Linked DNA regions of Pelodiscus sinensis. The protein of the gene in region 1 binds, or shares a complex with, the protein of each later gene. Links are inferred from orthologs where the notes say so. Each region holds a gene or a part of one and is shown in the gene's direction. Other genes may lie near its edges.

The links. The genes of interacting proteins can lie anywhere in the genome.
Region 2: the proteins of BANF1 (region 1) and EMD are in contact, whole or in part, in a crystal structure (PDB 7NDY), measured with the Homo sapiens proteins. The link is inferred for Pelodiscus sinensis from reciprocal best matches to the Homo sapiens genes BANF1 and EMD. Residues at the interface, in NP_001137457.1 of Homo sapiens: Arg37, Phe39, Gln48, Val51, Leu52, Lys53, Asp55, Leu58, Glu61, Trp62, Asp65; in NP_000108.1 of Homo sapiens: Pro22, His23, Gly24, Pro25, Val27, Ser29, Thr30, Arg32, Leu33, Tyr34, Lys36, Lys37, Glu40.

The regions. Positions count from the first base shown.
Region 1 is NC_134721.1:33,018,910-33,022,648, reverse strand, and holds the start of BANF1 (barrier-to-autointegration factor), read left to right. Parts: upstream 1-1,190; 5' UTR 1,191-1,205; coding exon 1,206-1,209; intron 1,210-1,354; exon of another isoform or gene 1,355-1,499; intron 1,500-3,739. UniProt on the Homo sapiens protein: Non-specific DNA-binding protein that plays key roles in mitotic nuclear reassembly, chromatin organization, DNA damage response, gene expression and intrinsic immunity against foreign DNA.
Region 2 is NW_027466045.1:56,746-60,484, reverse strand, and holds the start of EMD (emerin), read left to right. Parts: upstream 1-1,555; 5' UTR 1,556-1,720; coding exon 1,721-1,802; intron 1,803-2,080; coding exon 2,081-2,155; intron 2,156-2,201; coding exon 2,202-2,212; intron 2,213-2,260; coding exon 2,261-2,339; intron 2,340-2,488; coding exon 2,489-2,719; intron 2,720-2,967; coding exon 2,968-3,068; intron 3,069-3,739. UniProt on the Homo sapiens protein: Stabilizes and promotes the formation of a nuclear actin cortical network. Stimulates actin polymerization in vitro by binding and stabilizing the pointed end of growing filaments. Inhibits beta-catenin activity by preventing its accumulation in the nucleus.

The DNA.
Region 1 (3,739 bases):
TGACAGCTGAGGATCCAGCGCTGAATTCACTCTTGGAGGCATTCACTGGCACTGGATACTCTAGGAACAAAGACAATTTTATGGCTTGTGGAAATGGACTGAGACTCCCTTACCCAGGGAATGAGGTAGCTTCAAGATTCCTCTATTCTGCTGGAAATTTTCAGGCCAAACTCCACACATTGTCTCCCACAGTAAGAATTCCACTGAAAATTTTTTAGCTGTGAATCTGAAAGTGTTTTAACACAAGGAGGTAAGGATTGTCAATAAGGAACTGATGCAGGGAGAGGAGAAGGGACCACACAGGCAAACAGTGGGAGGTGAAACTGAGGAACAGACACATTATAACAGAATAACATTCAGGCAATTCTACTGATGATTTGCATGAGAAAGTTAATTCTTTAGGGCTGCATTAACTTCCCAGGTAAAATCTCATCTACATCACAGAATGAAACAAAGATCCTATAGGAGATCATGGAAACAAAAAAAAGAGATTGATCCAATGTCACTTTGTGCCTTAACCCTGTTATGGCTTCCTTGCAACTGGAGACAGATGTGTTGGGGTCGAGTAAATCTGTCAGCTCCGTGACTCAGTTTCCTCATATAAGAAGATGCCAGTCCGTGCTGAGACTCACTGCAGTCCTGCCCTACGCTTCAAGCCCCCAGGCCTCTCCCAGAGCTACAATGGAACCCAGGGGTCGGGCTCCGCTCCCCCAGGGTGGGATTAATCCCATTGGATTCTCCACCTCCCCGCCCAGCTGTGACGGCCAGATCCCCTCTCGGGCTAGTCCATGTCGCCGTGCTGGGGGCAGGGAGCGCCTTGCCCTGCACGCCCCCGGGAGTTCCCTGTTCCGCTCATTGGCCGGGGGAGAAAACTGCCGCTGCTCCTAGGGGCTGGACTGGGGGGGGGGGGGTGAGGGGCTGCCGCCTCCCGTCCCTACCTCTCTGCACATGGGACGGAGTCACCCGCTTCCGGCTCCAAGTCCTGAACCTCCCCCAAACCTTTCAGCGTAAACTTCCGGGTGTTCCGGGCGCTTCCTGTCTCACTTCCGGGAGCCCCTCCCCCCACCATGATGTCCCCTGATGCTCTCCTTGGGCTCCCGAGGCAGCCCCGCGGGCAGGGCTATTATTATGGGATGGAGGGGTTGTCGCGGACCACAGGCAGCGTCAGAGGCTGCCTCGCGCCGTCGGTTACTGTGACCGGGAGGATGAGTTGGTATCACAGAGTTTTCAGTTGCCTAGAGTGTAGATGCTGAACTCTATCATCCAAAGGTGGCTGGAGCGGCCCAGAGCCGTTGGGAATCATAGAGCAGATGTGGATCGCTCCTGGCTGGGACTAGAGCATTATAGAGCGCCGCCTACTCTCTATGGTTATATGGGGCGCGAAGAGGAGCGCGTGCTGGCGTGGCCTGGAAGCGGAAGTGGTGTTTGCGCAGGCGCAGTGGGTGGCCGGTTGGGCGGGAGCGGCGGTGTTTGAGGCGCTGCAGCAGCGAGCGGAGCTGGTGGGTCGCTGCGGTGTCGGACGCGGGCCTCGGGCAGGATGAAGGCGGCTGAGGGCGGGAACGGGCCAGTGGGGGAACCTGAGGCGTGGGGGAAGGAGCAGTTCGGGGAGCGCTCAGGGGCCTCTGGGGAGGGCGGGCGGTAGCTGGGCATGTGTCTGCGAGGGCGCGGCCGGGGGGGGCGGAGAGGAGCGCGGGGAAGGGCTGGGTATATCCTGGTGTGATTTAGGGTGGGATGAATTGGGGAGAAGAGGGGGGAGGGAGGTTGGCTGAGGATGCCCGAGGAAGGGATTGGAGTGTTCGGGGGGGGGGCTTCTGCAAGGATGGTTCCTAGTGGGAGGTCTGGCCTTACCCATAGGGAGGGGAGATCTCTAGGAGGTGGGGCTGGGGATATGGGCCTGGGGAAGTTGTTAGCTAGTGCTGGTAGTAATCATTACTTAACTCTGCTCGTTAGTAGCTCTCAAGAGGTGTAAAGGTGAGTTAGTATTGTCCATTTTAGCGATTGGGAAGCTGAGGTCAGCTGCTGGAGCTGGGAATAGAACCCAAGTCTTTTTGAGTTTAGTTCACTGCTCTATCTGCTGGGCTACATTGTGGGGAAAGGAAAAGTAGAGTGGAAGCCTGAAACTAGGGTGTGTGGGGTTTTTTTTTTTTTTTTTGGTAAAGGATAGTGCTCAGGTTGTTGGGCAGGTGTGATGAGTTAGGACTTCTGGTGATAAGAGAGGGATTGGTGGTATATAGCTGGTGTGTCTGGGAATGCTGGGAGTACCTGTAGTGATGAGTGGTACCTCTTGGGGGTTGGAAATTGTCTGACAAAGATTGGGATGGGAACAAGGTAGTGGAAGGTGTTGCTGAATGTGTGGAAAGAAGGTCTGGGAGGTAGGCAGTTGGGTTGAGTGCTAGGACACGGGAAGGGAGGGTGAGGATATGTATAAAGGAAGCTTTATCTGGTGAAGACGTGCCAAGTGCAGGATCTAAAAGGGCTGAGGATGCCTGGAAAAAAGGCGTCTTTTGGGAGGGATGGAGAGAATGGCTGCAGAGTCTGTGCAAGGGGTTTGTTGGTATTTGGATGTAAGGCTAGGGCTGAGGGTGCACATGGAAGGAATGAAATCATCACTGAGACTGGATGTTCTGCAGAAAGTAGGGAATTCAGGGGTCTTTGTTGGGGGTGTCACAGATCCATGGGCTCGATGCTCTTTACTGCTCTGGGCCCTTTTAGGTCCCTTTAGGACCTCACATACTCACTGGTGTAAGCCCCTTGACTTTGCTGCCTCTTGGAACTAGACCTCAGAGCAGTCAGCAATCCTGCTGAACCTTTGAGCTCCCCTCCAGTGAGTCCACTTGAATTGGATGCCTGAGGAAGACTTGTACACCCAGAGTGAGCAAGGCAGCTCTGACTCCATGACCCCAGAAGCAACTCGGTGTAGTAGAAACGAAAGGATTTGATAGAGGCAGCAAGGGAAGGGGGAAGCGACTAGTCGATGATCCGATAAGCATTTGCTTATCGGATCGTCGACTAGTCCTTAACATCCCTAATTCATGTATGGAATCATTTTTATGTGCATCAAGGAAGTAAGAAACACAAACCTAGCAATGGGCTTTCTGCTAATCAGTTGCGCCCGCACAAGCTTCCAGTTTACAGGGAGCACCAGTAGCAGAATGTATTTGTCAAGAACATACAGAGTCAAATTAAACTACTAGTTTCTTCTGAGAGTGTAACAATCCTTGTGGATTGAGGATAAGCAGTAGATGTGGTGTATCTTGACTTCAGTCGGACTTTTGATATATTTCACATGACATTTTCATAAACTAGAGAATTACAATTTGGATAGCGCTACTACAAAGTGGGTGCGTAGTTGACTGGAAAACTGGAAATTTGTAGGCCATACCAATCTGGGGGGCATTGCCAGTGCTTTGGAAGATAGGATTAAAATTCAAAATGATCTAGATAAACTGGAGGAATAGTCTGAAGTAAATAGTATGTAATTCAATATGGATAAATATAAAGTACTCCACTTAGGAAAGAACAGTTAATTGCATGCATGCGAGGGATGTATAATCAGCATTAATCAGTTAACCTAATGTTTAACTGGTTAACTTAATGTTTAACCAGTTAAATAAGCAGCGTCTCAGGTTGGAGACTATTCCAGCCCAGCTGGAGCAGCCCCCAGCCCAAGGAGCTCCTGTTCCCACACCAGGCCAAGCTAGGGATGTAAGTGACTAGTCAAGTACTATTGGATAGTCAA
Region 2 (3,739 bases), on another chromosome or scaffold:
ACTCCTGGGCTCTGTCCCCAGCAATGGGAGGGGAGTGGAGTCTAGTGGTTAGGGCGGGGGAGGGAGGGGCTGGGAGCCAGGACTCCTGGGCTCCGTCCCCAGCAATGGGAGGGGAGTGGGGTCTAGTGGTTAGGGCGGGGGAGGGAGGGGCTGGGAGCCAGGACTCCTGGGCTCCATCCCCCCCGCAATGGGAGGGGAGTGGAGTCTAGTGGTTAGGGCGGGGGAGGGAGGGGCTGGGAGCCAGGACTCCTGGGCTCTGTCCCCAGCAATGGGAGGGGAGTGGGGTCTAGTGGTTAGGGCGGGGGGGGGACCAGGACACTCACCTGCTCAGTGACTGCGTGCCTCAGTTTCCCAGTGTGTGCAGGCGCCCCGCTCTCCCTGCAGGAGTGTCTCTCGCGGTGCCCTGGCGCTGTGTGAGCTGCGGGAGGGCAGGACACCTGTTTGGGGGGGCGGGGGGGCGGGGCGCTCGTGGGGAAATCGAAACTGGCCAAGGAGAAGTGATGAGTCACACGGGCTCGTATCTCCCGCGGCCTTCTGGGGGCGGTGAGCGCCCTGCCCCCCTCCGAGGGCCCAGGGGCCCTGCCCCCCCGAACCCAGGCGCCCTGCCCCCCCCGAGGGCCCAGGCGCCCTGCCCCCCCGAACCCAGGCGCCCTGCCCCCCCCCGAGGACCCAGGCGCCCTGCCCCCCCGAACCCAGGCGCCCTGCCCCCCCCGAGGGCCCAGGCGCCCTGCCCCACCGAACCCAGGCGCCCTGCCCCCCCCGAGGGCCCAGGCGCCCTGCCCCCCCGAACCCAGGCGCCCTGCCCCCCCCGAGGTCCCAGGCGCCCTGCCCCCCCCCGAGGGCCCAGGCGCCCTGCCCCCCCGAACCCAGGCGCCCTGCCCCCCCCGAGGGCCCAGGCGCCCTGCCCCCCCGAACCCAGGCGCCCTGCCCCCCCCGAGGTCCCAGGCGCCCTGCCCCCCCCCGAGGACCCAGGCACCCTGCCCCCCCTCCGAGGGCCCAGGCGCCCTGCCCCCCCGAACCCAGGCGCCCTGCTCCCCCCCGAGGACCCAGGCGCCCTGCCCCCCCCGAGGGCCCAGACGCCCTGCCCCCCCCGAACCCAGGCGCCCTGCTCCCCCCCGAGGACCCAGGCGCCCTGCTCCCCCCCGAGGACCCAGGCGCCCTGCCCCCCCCGAGGGCCCAGGCGCCCTGCCCCCCCCGAACCCAGGCGCCCTGCCCCCCCCCAGGACCCAGGCGCCCTGCCCCCCCCCCCAGAACCCAGGCGCCCGGGCTCAGCGGGGCGGGCGGGGAGTTCCCCAGCTGGGAGGGGGCGTTGCGAGGGGCGCGAGACCGTTGCCAGGGAGGGGGGGGGGAAGCTGGGCGGACACGCGGGCTAGGGCGTTGCTAGGGCGGGCCGAGCGAGCCGTTGCTAGGGCGGGCCGAGCGGAGCGGAGCGGGGCGGGGCGTTGCTAGGGCGGGCCGAGCAGAGCGGGGCGGGGCGTTGCTAGGGCGGGCCGAGCGGGGCGGGGCGTTGCTAGGGCGGGCCCAGCGGGGCGGGGCGAGCGGTTGCTAGGGCGGGCCGAGCGGGGCGGGGCGTTGCTAGGGCGGGCCCAGCGGGGCGGGGCGTTGCTCGGGGCGGCGCGCTGCGCCCTTGCCGGCCCCTCCCCCGCGTGTCACTTCCTGTCGCCGCTGGCGCCTCCTGGGCCCGCTCCGCGCCGGAAGCGCCCGCCCCGCCCCGCCCGCCATGGAGCGGTACCGGGACCTGTCGGACACCGAGCTCGTCGCCCGGCTGCAGCGCTACGGCATCGCGCACGGGCCCGTCGTGGGTACGGGGGGGAGGGGCGCTGGGGGGCCGCGAGGGAGGAGCTGGGGGGGGCCGCGGGGGGGGATCTGGGGGGGGCTGGGGGGCCGCGAGGGGGGATCTGGGGGGGGCGCTGGGGGGCCGTGGGGAGGCAAGAGAAGCAGGCTCTGGGGGGCAGCCAGCGGGGTGTGATGGGAACAGGCGGAGCAGGGATGGGGGGGGGGCAGAGACATTCTGTGAGCTGTGGGGGGCAGGGCACCGTGGGCCCACCTGACCCCCCCCCCCTTGTCTCCCGGCCCCCAGGATCGACCCGGAAGCTCTATGAGAAGAAGATCTATGAGTTCGAGAGCCAGCGCACCAAGCTGTCGCCCCTGGGGGGTCTGTGAGCTACTCGGGTGAGTGGGGGGCCAGGAGGGCTGGGGAGGAGCCAGCAGCGTAGCCGCTGACACCCTCCCCCCCCCCCCCTTTTCTGTGTGTCCAGAGCCCAGCACTACCAAGACCTACATCCAGGAATCCTACAGCTACCGCCCACCAGAGGAGCGGCACCGCTACGGGGACGACAGTGAGAGGGGCTGCGGGGTGGAGTGAGGGCCGTGGGCAGAGCTTGGGGGGTGGGCACCCTGGGTCGGGCAGGGCCGGAGGGGGGGGCTGGGCTGGCAGGGGCTGTGGGTGGCAAGTGAGGGGCGCCGGCAGAGCTCAGGCTGGGATGAGCAGCAGACTGTGGGTTGGGAGTGAGGGGCATGGCAGTTTTCCTGGACTTGGGGTACAAAGGTTGGGGCATCTGGGGGTTCCTTTCTCCCATGGGGGTGGGGGCTAAAGGTGCCCTCCCACTAATCCCTCCTGTGTGTCTCTGCCTCCAGATATCCAGCCCCACCAGGACGTACACGCGGGAGCTGTATGATTTTCCTCGCCGAGAGGGTCGCACCAGCTACCTTGGGGATGGTGAGGGGGGCAGGCATTTCCTCTGGTGCGGGTGCAAGGGGGGTACAGAGCAGGGAGGATGTGTGGGAACACAGAGGGGAGGGGAAGCTTTGTAACTTCTCAGGCCTGGGCCTGACACCCCATCCCCACCCCGTCCCCCAGGCCACATTGACATTCCTGCACCAGGGAGTTCCAGGGGTGGTGCTCTGGGGGGGTGGGGGGAGAAGAGCCACGCCCAGCCCCTATCTCACCCCACTCCTCCCCCCCAGATGTGGACAGCGAGTCTTACGAAGAATCTTCCTCCTCCTCCTCCTCGTGGTTCTACGGGTCAGGCCCAGGTCCCATGGGGGAAGCCACTGCCCGCCAGCCGGTAAGTCAGGCCTTATTTGGGGGCAGGGATCTGGGGCAGGGGGCAGCTCCAGTTCTCTCCCTACGCTCTCTGCCCCCCGCCCCAACCCAGACTCTCACACTGCCCCTCCGCTCCCTCCTACTTGGTCCTACCACATCTGACCCCCAATTCTGCCCCATCTCCAGCACCCTGGGGCAATCCTGCACTTGGCTGCTGGTCCAGCCTGGCAGGCTGTTGGCGGCTGGGTGATGGGAGGGGCTGGTGAAGCTGGAACTAAGTTGGGTGATGTTGTGTGGTGTAGAGTCAGTCCCTTGCTGGTTGCTCTGCATGGGCTGTGGGTGACCCCCGCTGGCGGCTGTCCGGAAGCATGACCCAGCAGCAGGTGCCTGGCCGCCCCAGGGCACCTTTGTAACAAAATGTCAACTTTGTAACTGTTAAAGCACCAGCTGTCAGCATGGCCTACCCAAGCAGAGCAAGTACCCTGAACCACAGCCCGAGAAGCGGTCCCCGCTGGCTGTTGCTGTCAGTAGCCCGCCTTTCTTTTTTTTGAGTTGAGTGTCTGCGGAAACCGAGCTTTGCTGGGCTCGATCGATAAGAATCGAATCCTTCCCGCTGGCTCTGCCGCTCCCGTCATGGCAAACGAAAAGGGAATCGCTGGACTCTAGCTCCTCCCTTGGTCCCCCCGAGTAAGG